Linked DNA regions of Xenopus tropicalis. The protein of the gene in region 1 purifies or fractionates together with the protein of each later gene. This does not show direct contact. Links are inferred from orthologs where the notes say so. Each region holds a gene or a part of one and is shown on either strand. Other genes may lie near its edges.

Region 1 (6,070 bases):
GTATGGTGGGTTGGCGAGGTGACCGTTATTGGCAAAACAATTGTCAAGATTTTTAATGGAACATGTACGGCCTCCTTTAAGCACTGACTTCCAAATCTCTAATTCCTCAGATAGAGGCAGCAGCATTTTTGGATCAATCATTGCCACAAGAGGATCCAATACAACATGCACTGTTTGGGGGTCTAATATTTTACTTGGTAGACAACACTCCTATTGGATGTATTAAAACCTTACCTGCCTATATGTGGCACAATGCCTGTTGGGAAAGTGGATGTTTGGTAGACTTGATCTGTTTAAAGGTTGATTTCATGCCCAGACTGCTGTAAAATATCCTAGAAAGTCAATTTTTATTTGGCCCATGGGGGGTTGAGGCTAGAGCCTATTTTGAATTTAAGTCCAGACAGAGTTGATCTGCATCTATTCAACCAACTGGCCCACAGGCTGATTTTACATCTATCCACATGGCCCGATATTATGCAATTTGGCTATCCACATAGATGAAACAATAGCAATTTTCCATTCATTACACCGGGACTGCGCTCCTCTTATGCTAAACTGCTGATGCCCCAACAAACACCAAGAAGGGACACTGGAAGATGTGATTTGTGACTGCGTTCGCAGGGCAGTCTCAATAAACTGCTTTCACTGATGCCATACATGCTCAGATGATTGGCCTGTGGTGTTTGAATTGACCAAACTGTCTGACCAAATCTGGGAATATATAGGATGCATAAAGTGTGCCAGGACTTGGGAAGGGATAATGAAATGACCTTGTACTTGACATATAGTTGCTATAGGTCTGAGAAAAAAGAGAGGTAACATGGCTGTGAAAGTAAGGGTAAAATTTACCTCAACATGAAATGGCATTTATACAATATCCATTCTCCTCACCTTAAAATCCTAGGGCCAGCAAAGCACTGTAGAGCACATAGCGCCCATCCACGTATTCTTTTTGTAGCAATACTTCCTGATTGCAGCACCTTCAGTGCAGTACATTTTAAACAACGAGCAAATAAATATTTCAGCATATTGACAAGCAATTCTGTGTCTGACCTTCTCCATGGCACCCCGAGTCTGATCTCCTACTGTGAGGTTATGAAGTGAGGGAAATCACAAATGTATCATGCAGATGGAGAGGCACTAGCTTGCTCACCAAATACACTATTTCTCAACTTGTCAGTTTAGATTAAAAATATATATATTAGCCAAGGATCACAAATCAAAAGCAATTTGAAAGCGAGAGCTGAAGATGAGTTGTGGTTACATTTTGCTTGGGGCATTAGTATGGGGTTAATAAACTGTCCAATGGAAGAAGCAGATAAGCAGAACAGGCTATAGGCAGGGGAACCTGCACTCCGCTTAATGAAGCAATATGTGATGCTTATACTGCTGCTGGGGTAACTGCAAGTGATGAATTGGTCTTTTGTATAGCTATTTGCTTCTGTGCACCCAGATGCATCACTATGGACGGTCATACATAAGTATGGGCAAATATTAATGTAACCAGGCCAAACTGGCAATCTGAGGTGCTGCTGTAAGATGCCACAGACTGTCACAATTAACGGGCGTGTGGGGGGGATTGGGCCTCTGTGTACTTGATTTGCCAGGGCCTATTTTGAATCCCAGTCCAGGCCTCAATGTAACACCCCAGCACTTGCCCCAGGACTGCAAGACAATTATTGGTTACAAATACTGTCTTCGGAGGGGTGTACATGGGGGCACTTGCACCAGGTACCATTGGTCAGCGATATAAATTCTGTTGTGCCTCACAAAATTGTCTTTTTTCCGGTTGGTCAGAGAATCCTGGGAGTTGCAATTCAATATCAGATGGGTATTATTTATTATAAATGCACATTATTATAGCCTTGATGCTTAGATATAGCCAATCTGAAAAAAAACGCTGCTCTTTTCCAAATGGAGCATAAACTAGAGGTGGCACTCTGATTATACATACATATTTATATAACCTGTAAATATAACATGGACCCATAATCCTCAGGCACCCAATAAATCTGACTAAACTGATGGCAGCCTGTATCCGGCCTACTGTGTCCCCATGATGGAACTGTCTATCACCGACACTCATGCTACTAGATTTGCATTTAAAAACCATGTCGCTGGACCTCTCATTCCTCCACAGCTATTAATGAACAAGTCTGGCCATAAATTATTTTCTTCCTGGGGTCAAAGGGTCTTAAAATATTAGCTGTAACCTCTGGCAAAAAGCGGTGATGTGGAACGCACAACCGCAACCTACCTGATTGCATGTCTGCTTGCATGTCATTCTCTAAAATTGCATAAATAAAATGCCAGCTGAAAAATAATGGCAATGGCAATTATAAAAAAAAAACCTTAATAAACATAATGTGCCCGTAGCTATTCACCCAGTTGACGTATTTATTATAGATTGAATTATACACCAACACTTTCCCCCGGAGGAGCTGTCTATTGCTAATCTAATAACTGAATTGCTTGCTTATATTCAAGCTGCTACATTGTCATATTATTGCTATGCTGTTTTTATGTTCCCATCTATAAGAACAAGGTCAGGCATAGGAATAAGCACACATATCCCACCTTTTGCTAACACGGCCATCGCCATTCTGCTGATAAGAGGTAAGCAGTCTGAGTACGTCTCCAGCACAGATCCCAAGAGTCATTAAGGGTGTGTCCACATCAAAGATCCCCATAATACACTATAGGATGCTTTCACTGAATAAATACACATTATACCTGCATTTTCTGCTTCTGCAACGTAATAGGACTATGGCCCTGGGGCTGTCTCCTTTCTACCAGAAGATTCTGTGAGAAGGGCCTCTATACTGTAAAATAGATTTAGCAAGGAGAAGCCAGCTGACTGCTGTCACTTATATATGAAAGGCAAATAAACACAGCAGCTATTTGTCCCAAACACTGGGCAATGCTGAAATTAGCTTTATCTATCATCTATCTATGTATCTATCTATCTATATATCTATCTATATTTCTATCTATCTTGGGCCCATAGGGTGATTCAGGCAACAAGGCATATTCAGTGGAATGATAATCAGTCTGTAGAAATATGCAGATGCACAATAGTTATTGTCATAATAAAGACTAATCAAATCCATAAGTACAGAAATGTCAGCAGTGACCCAGCCCAGTATGGAAGGGGTTATAGTAACCCCCAGTGCCCCCCCCCCCCCCCCCATCTCAATCTCAGCTCATTAATATTGTCCAGAAAAAATAAGGGAGGAAGCTCTGCAAATATATGGAGACTGCACCCCTAAGCACATGTATAATATCCATACACATATATATTCTATATTTCATGCTTCCTCATACTAAGGAGTTAGCGATCCCCAAAGTGCAATTAGGGGGCAAGGTAGAGCCATAGCCAGCCCACCCCACCCTGAAGCCATCACTCACCACTTTGCTCTCCAAGAAAAACCAGCTTGAATTTTCTCAGAGGGTTTCCAAAATCTCCCCCTGCAGACATGATGCTCGGGGAAGAGCCGAGACAGGACCAGGGGAAGAGCCGGAGACAGGACCAGGGGAAGGAGTCGGAGACAGGACCAGGGGCAGCAGGGGCAGATTCTGCAGCAGTCTGGGCTGGGCTTGTGGCTGCGGCTGGGGCACAGGGAGAGGTAACAGGGTGCGGCGGGGAAGGAATAGGTTAATGGCTCAGTGGCAGCAGCAGCAGTAAAAGAGGGAGAGCGGCGCTACTGTAGGGGAATACGGATGCTTCGGGCTGTGCTGCTCAGCATCTCTCCCCTCCCCGCCCAAACCCATCACGCCTGCGTACTCCCTGGCCGCGGCCCCCCTCCCCTAGCTGGGCTGATGTCAGTGCACCGGCTACTCTATACACTGACACCTGCACCCTCTATAGGGCTGCCATTAGGCCTGTCAGGTCATTCCACTAAACTGGCTGCATGGGCTAATTGGCAATCACATCAGATAGCCTATAATGCAAACATGAGCTTATGCCTACCCGCCCCGCAGCATGGATATTCTATAGGTATCTCCTATAGGTATGCACTGGGTCTGTGCAATGTGTAGCAGCAGGGGTAGGAATGATGGAGCAGGGCTCTTCAACCTGTTGGTGGGATTCCGAGGCTTGTGCTACAGTTACGGGGGCTGCAGAGACTTGTACTACAGCTGGGGGTGCTGCTGAGGCATGTACTGTAGCAGGGGGGGGCCTCATGAGGCTTGCACTACAGCTGGGGGGTTGCAGAGGCTTGTACTACAGCTGGGTGGTTGCAGAGGCTTGTACTACAGCTGGGGGGTTACAGAGGCTAGTACTACAGCTGGGGGGCTGCAGAGACTTGTACTACAGCTGGGGGTGCTGCTGAGGCATGTACTGTAGCAGGGGGGGCCTCATGAGGCTTGCACTACAGCTGGGGGGTTACAGAGGCTTGTACTACAGCTGGGGGGTTGCAGAGGCTTGTACTACAGCTGGGGGGTTGCAGAGGCTTGTACTACAGCTGGGGGGTTGCAGAGGCTTGTACTACAGCTGGGGGGTTGCAGAGGCTTGTACTACAGCTGGGGGTTGCAGAGGCTCGTACTACAGCTGGGGGGTTACAGAGGCTCGTACTACAGCTGGGGGGTTACAGAGGCTTGTACTACAGCTGGGGGGTTACAGAGGCTTGTACTACAGCTGGGGGGTTGCAGAGGCTTGTACTACAGCTGGGGGGTTGCAGAGGCTTGTACTACAGCTGGGGGGTTACAGAGGCTTGTACTACAGCTGGGGGGTTGCAGAGGCTTGTACTACAGCTGGGGGGTTGCAGAGGCTTGTACTACAGCTGGGGGGTTACAGAGGCTTGTACTACAGCTGGGGGGTTACAGAGGCTTGTACTACAGCTGGGGGGTTGCAGAGGCTTGTACTACAGCTGGGGGGTTACAGAGGCTTGTACTACAGCTGGGGGGTTACAGAGGCTTGTACTACAGCTGGGGGGTTACAGAGGCTTGTACTACAGCTGGGGGGTTGCAGAGGCTTGTACTACAGCTGGGGGGTTACAGAGGCTTGTACTACAGCTGGGGGTTGCAGAGGCTTGTACTACAGCTGGGGGGTTACAGAGGCTTGTACTACAGCTGGGGGGTTACAGAGGCTTGTACTACAGCTGGGGGGTTACAGAGGCTCGTACTACAGCTGGGGGGGCAAGAAACTAGTGCTGCTCAGATAAAGGGGCACATTTAATAAAGTGACAGCACATGTCAAAATAATTGGCAGAGAAGAAGCATTGGTGGGGGTTGGGAAGTCAATAACATTAATGGCATTTAGAAGGTGTCAGGAGTAAGCCAAATCCAGTTCCTTTGTGAGACCCCACACAGCATTTAATGATGATGCAAGTAGTGCAAAATCATTTTAGATCTCCCCATAAACTTGGGAGGTGGGGAGGGTTGAGACATTTTTGATGAGCATATTTTGAAACTGCCTATTATACTGCCCATATACCCCCTGGGTCCACAGTAGATTAATTTATAGTAATCAGTGGTGTTACTACCATACAGCAGACCCCAAGGGGATGGTTGCCCTGGACCTCGGGGGCTGCTATATAGTAGTCTCTGCTCCCCAGACCCTCTCTTACCTTTAATGTAAGCTAGCTGCAGCAGGCAGGTGTCAGGGGGCCAAGGGGAACATAGGGGTTCCCTCAGCAGGCACTGTGTGCTCTGCCCTTCAGTGAATTTTACCAGAATTATAACTGTTGAGGATGGTAAATCTGCATCTCACCTGCAGTTTCTAAATTGTGGCATCATACACAATTCCCAGCATCCTCAGTGGCTTGCCTGACTAACAAGTACATGAGAACATCATATGCATTCCGTGTTCCACTTGTAAAGCTGGCCATACATGATTAGATATACGAATTAGGTGAGTTCAGCTAACATTTGGTCTTTCCGATTTGGGCACCCAAGTGCTAGGCCATATCTGGTTGATGAAATGCTTGGCCCACGAGACCCTACGGAGACCCGTTGAGACCACATCAACACACTCTTCATATGATGGATTTTCAAACCTGCCCAACCTAGGGCATAGAATATATTACAGGAATGGGACCTGATATCCAGAATGCTCAGGACCTGGGGTTTT
Region 2 (6,070 bases), on another chromosome or scaffold:
CTAATGCAAGAAGCTTGCCTCATTAAATAGGAGATCTGGAGTTAATAGTCCATAATTAGTTTTTAATAATTTAATACAGAAACAGTTTCTGACCTTAAAAATGCTAAAACAAACACAAAATGCCCATTATCTACCTGCGAGGAGTATCTCTGTGGGATTCATCCCACAAGCCAAAGGCATACATTAGCAGAAAGCACAAACGCACATTACATTCTTCATTAATACTGGCTCCTGCAAACAACACGCAATGAGCTAACAGGGCTAATAATGCAGCAAAATTGTAAAATTTTTATTGTGCAGCACACTAACTTTTCGACTAACACAATATCCTTTGTCAAAAACTATAAAGCTATTGTGTTAGCCGAAACATTAGTGTCTTCATCATCTGGACTGTACCCAGGCTCTGATATTCTTCTTAAACATGAATGCCGGCATTTGTAGTGTGCTATATATATATATATATATACACACATTTGTAGCAAACACTCGACACAGTATCAACCCCTCCCAAAAAAAAAAAAAATTTACATATTAGATGTATCCTACATGAATTAATGCAAAGCAGATGTGTAATAAACCTACCACATTTCAAATGCACCTCGGTGATATTAGGATCCTGCATACTACACCTCTACAATTTTTTGTGGGAAAACATGTAACATTATCTGTGTTGGTTAGCTGTTCAACTTTCTTGAATGAAGTTCCTGCCTGGCTGTTCTCGTGGCTGCAGTAAAGTGAATTAATCTGGATTTAGCTAACGCTCTAAACACCTTAAGCTAAGGTTGTTCTTAAGCAATCATTATTGGAGGAGGGGCAGAATAAAATTCTGTAATTGTGCTCCAACTATCAATTATGTTAAAAAAAAAAACCCAATAAAAAGTTTTGAAAGCCTTTTAGTATCATCTAGAATAGGGCTACTACAGGTCTGATAGATGAAAGAATATCAAGTCTCCAGAATTAATTTACATGAGATTAAATGCTAATGGTGGCTTACGCGCAACTAATTGTTTGTTTGTTTTTTTTATGACCCCAGCACTTAATATGAGTATTAACATGTCACCTTAGTGGCTACTATTGTGCAGTGACTATCATCACATACGCACACGGGATCATGCCACATTCATAGTATCTTTATCAACTGTGAATATAGCTAACGGAAGTGTTGCCCTCCGTGGCACTGTATACTGCTTCTGATGCGCACCTCCAGTTCACATATCTGTAAGAATCATTTGTTTTTGAGCACCCACTTGAGCCTTTGTATCTATGACTATCCTGACTATATTTTGTATTTTAGTTTTTTGGATTTTTTTTTAGGTAATGATTTCTCCTTCAGTGGTCCTACTCACATTGATAGTGTTTTATGTTTGATACAAAAAAAACAATTACATGATTAAAGGGTCTATACATACCTAGACACAATTTGGATTATATCCTGTTACTGTTACAACTTTTTTGTACAAATGTCTCTTTTTTTAAAAGCCATATAACAGCTAATTTGGATTGTTGTTTTCTCACAATGCACACACATCAACTGCGTGATAAACCAAAGTAGATGCTTTAAAATGTATTTTATTTCATGCAGGTTTGGGGCAGGCTGGGCAGGTAATAAATTGATCAAATGTATAGGGCTGGTCAGAGTGGTGCAGATGGAAACTGCAGGAAAGTGGCATGGAAGCCAAAATGGAAAATGAAAACATTGTGAGAGATGACAAAAAGGGAAATTTGTACAAAAAAAAAAAAGTTTTAAAAGTTGGAGACTAATAAAAAAAAAAATGATGAGAGAGAAAGAGAAAAAAAAATAGAGACAGCAAATTAGGAGAGCAATTTGTACCAAAAACAAGCATGCAGTTTTCTCTGTTTTCTTTTTTTTTTTTTTACTACAGGTGTGGGACCCGTTATCCAGAATGCTCGGGACCTGGGGTTATCTGGATAAGGGGTCTTTCCGTAATTTGGATCTCCATGCCTTTAGTCTACTAAAAATCATTTAAACATTAAAAAAACACAATGGGATTGTTTTGCCTCCAATAAGGATTAATTCTATCTTATTTAGGATCAAGTACAAGGTACTGATTTATTATTATAGAGAAAAAGCAAATCGTTCTTAAAAATCTGAATTATTTGCTTATAAAGGAGTCTATGGGAGATGACCTTCCCATAATTCGGAACTTTCTGGATAACAGGTTTCCGGATTACATATTTGCATATGTATTACATATTTGCATATGTTAAACTTGCCGTACAAACAGTTTTTTCTTAGAAGCATGAGTAGTGGATTAGGCATTTTGATAACTATTCACACTGTTGGAGTAATTCTTTTATTTTATTGGTTTATGCAATTTTTTTTTTTTTTTTTTTACTTACTTTATTGTATTTTTAGTTTTGCATTATAATTTGTTACTTGTATTTAACAACGCTTTGGGGGTTTGAAATAGAAAGATATTTAACAATTTTAGATGTCAGAATGTGTGCTTTCCAAAAATATATGGTTTTCGAGGGTCTTCATCTGTTAGGGGGGGGGTCTTATGACACATAACATACTGTTTTCATTATAGAGTCCATACACACAACATACTTTGGTAAACCTATGCACACTGAGCATCAAATTGCTCAGTAGACCCTTAGCGGGCGACTAATCTCCCCGTGTGCCAGAGCCCTTAGGGTGTTTTATGTTGTTACCTAATGACATGTGAGAGATAAGATGCTATAAATTGGAAGCTTTGAGGTTATTTTCAGAATTTTTTTTATCAAAACTGCTAAATTTAGGGATGCTTTGTAGCTAGGTGGTTTGGAGTTGAAAGAAAATTTTACTTATTTGTGAGATGGATTTGTCAGAATTTGTAACTTTTCAAAAATATAAGGTTAGGAGTCAACATACTTTTTTAGGGACTGGTGTGATTTAAAGAATTAGTCGGACTACCTTGCTGTTTTGATCCAATCTTTGTCGTGGTCCAAACAATATCCTAACTGGGGAAAGATCCAGTAGTGGCAATTACTTTACACCACAAACAGTCCATGGTACAGCAATCTAAGTGAACCCTATAGTGAAGGGTATATTGTCTATATTTGCACCCATTTTGCCCTGCATTTTCCTGTGGTGGAGCACACCTGTGTTTCACTGCCTGTACTAACACGGGTTAATGTAAATGCCGAACGCAGTTGGAACACAACATGGAAACACAGGGCAACACGCCAGTGAGTACAATCCCTAAAGCACCTTTATGGGTGTGGCCAGTGGCATAACTACATTTTACTGGGCCCCACAGCAAAGTCATTTTGGGGCCCCCAAAATGTCCAGAAGTTGGTCTGTTTAACCAATATTTATTAAAATTCCTCATTAACAAAGGCCTCATAGGGACCCCTATACCTTCTGGGCCTCCCTCTATAATTACACCCCTGAGTGTGGCCCTTGGGTGCCAGTACAGAAAAAACAGTAACCCTAGCTGCTGCCAGACACTTGTGGCTTACTTTGGCAGTGAAGCCGAGGCGGGGTTCATCTCCTCTCTTCCCTGACTGGCAATAAGGGAAGAGGCAGTGAATAGTGAGCCAGCTCCTACTGCAGAACAGAACTTCAATCCAGCCCTGCCTGTACAAGGAATTCATTGGCTCCCATCTACACATACAACTTACGGGTAAAAGACAAGAAGATATAGCCTTTTTTCGCATTGACACACACATTTCTCAGCAGCGTTCCTGGCAACTGATTATAAATATTTAGGTGTTCCAAACTAGCCTTCCGACTGGAAGAAGCCGAAGTCGTGCATGAGTTTTTAGCGACTGCATTTTATTACCGATTTTTTCCAAAATCTATTTTTTTTAAATAGGGTAATAAAAGCGAAACATACCGCTGTATAACCGATGTTATAGCAAGGTTAACTCTCCAACAATATTCGTTCCCTGATATAAATACAATACCGAATCTATCACGTACTTCTCTAAGGTTCTCTTTTTATCATTGGATCTGTGAGAAAACAATTACAACCGCGGAGGCCCTAAACTTTCCGACCCTGCTGTAGAACTTACCGTCGGAACTAACGCTGTCGTAGGGATCCCGAGAACTGTGCCCTGTGTCCCTATAATCCACTCCGTTAAGGCCTTCCAAGTAATCACATCCCAATCTAGCTTGCTCTTCAACTGGAACAACTGTGAAGTGAGGCATTTTGTTTGGGGACTATCACATCTTTTGCCAACCAAGCAAAGATACCTAAATATCTACTCCACTTTCAGTGAATTCCAAAACCATAGACTCACTTCCTCCGGGGAAATTAGCATATTCCGCAACCCCCGCCTTGATTCGCTGCTGTAGGGTCGGACTGGCAAAGGCATATAGGGGGAAAGGGAATGCTAGAACGAGTGCACATGATGATAACCGGTGTTTGGGAGGTTTAATAATAAACTGGTCAAAGTAAAGTAAGCAAAATGTATGAAGTTAAAAAAAAAAACAGGTAGAGTGAAAGCAAAGGGTTACCTTGATATTATAGAAAACCCTGCCGATGAGAAGTTTGCATGAATAAAGTATGTCAAAGCTGCAGGAATTCTTGATGTATATATATATATATATATATATACACACACACACACACACACACAGGTATGCAACCTGTCATCCAGAATGCTCGGGACCTGGGGTTTTCCGGATAAGGGACCTTTCCGTAATTTGCATGGGCGTCCACAGAAGGGGGCAAGAGGGGGCACTTGCCCCCCCTGGAAAAGTAGCAATAAAAACGGGCGCAATAACTTGGGGGCGCATATTAAAGGGGAGATGAATTTTTTTTTTTTTTTAGTTGTAACATTATTTATATCCCCACCTTGGCCATTATAAAACCGCCGCCCAAACCCCCCTCTAAAGGTCCCAGGAACTGAGCGCAGGCACCACCTTCCCACCCTTCCCTATACTGGAGCGGCGCTTACCTCCGTGCGCCCATATGACACGCATGCGGATTGGGCACGCCCCCCCCTACGCATGTGTGTCTTTGAAACACAAGGCGCCAGAAGGCGCAGAAAGCGCTTGGGTGCGGCGGCGGTCGGTTGTGCTGTGGGCTGGCTGAGTGAGCAGGATTGCTGGGCTGGCCTTGGCTGACTGGCACCTGGGACTGGGATTTCGAGGCACTGCTGCTGCTGACACAGGTACAGTTGCTGGGGGCGCAATATGAGGGGGGCTTGGCTGCTGACACAGTACAGATGGGGGGCTTGGCTGCTGACACAGGTACAGATGCTGGGACCTTGCTGGGGACGCAATATGAGGGGGGCTTGGCTGCTGGCACAGTACAGATGGGGGGGCAATATGAGGGGGGCTTGGCTGCTGGCACAGTACAGATGGGGGGGCAATATGAGGGGGGCTTGGCTGCTGGCACAGTACAGATGCTGGGGCCTGGGGGCGCAATATGAGCGGTGGCGTGGCTGCTGGCACAGTTCAGATGGGGGGCAATATGAGGGGGGCTTGGCTGCTGGCACAGTACAGATGGTTGGGCAATATGAGGGGGGCTTGGCTGCTGGCACAGTACAGATGCTGGGGCCTGGGGGCGCAATATGAGGGGTGGCGTGGCTGCTGGCACAGTACAGATGGGGGGCAATATGAGGGGGGCTTGGCTGCTGGCACAGTACAGATGGGGGCAATATGTTGGGTGCTGGCACAAATACATGGGGGCAATATGATGGCTGTTGGCACTGGTACATGGGGGCAATTGGGGTTTTTTTTATGTGGCATGATAATTTTGATCCATCTAATGTGTGTTTCTGAGTTCTGAATTATGTGAATAGTAGGTAGCTGAGTAGAGCAGAGTAGTTGTAAAAGGCACTAACAGTTGTAAATGTATTCATTAATTAAAATATATTTAATTACAATTGTATATTTTTACATACAGACACACGTAAGCTAGTATCATCCTGCAAAAAAAAAATAAATAAATAAAATATATATATATATATATTTGTCTGTTGCAGGATGATGCTAGCTTACTTGACCCCCCTTGGAAAATTTTCTGCGGACGCCCATGGTAATTTGCATCTCCATACCTTAAATCTGCTAAAAATCATTCAAATATTGAATAAACTGTATAGGCTTATTTTGCCT

What was found. The genes of interacting proteins can lie anywhere in the genome.
Region 2: the proteins of rab6b (region 1) and slc12a4 purify together in Homo sapiens (co-immunoprecipitation; 3 studies listed by BioGRID and IntAct, with this or other methods). This does not show direct contact. The link is inferred for Xenopus tropicalis from reciprocal best matches to the Homo sapiens genes RAB6B and SLC12A4.

What each region holds. Positions count from the first base shown.
Region 1 is NC_030681.2:130,025,605-130,031,674, forward strand, and holds the start of rab6b (ras-related protein Rab-6B), read right to left. Parts: upstream 3,762-6,070; 5' UTR 3,479-3,761; coding exon 3,409-3,478; intron 1-3,408. UniProt on the Homo sapiens protein: The small GTPases Rab are key regulators of intracellular membrane trafficking, from the formation of transport vesicles to their fusion with membranes. Rabs cycle between active GTP-bound and inactive GDP-bound states.
Region 2 is NC_030680.2:43,045,249-43,051,318, reverse strand, and holds the start of slc12a4 (solute carrier family 12 member 4), read right to left. Parts: upstream 4,288-6,070; 5' UTR 4,157-4,287; coding exon 4,021-4,156; intron 1-4,020. UniProt on the Homo sapiens protein: Mediates electroneutral potassium-chloride cotransport when activated by cell swelling. May contribute to cell volume homeostasis in single cells. May be involved in the regulation of basolateral Cl(-) exit in NaCl absorbing epithelia.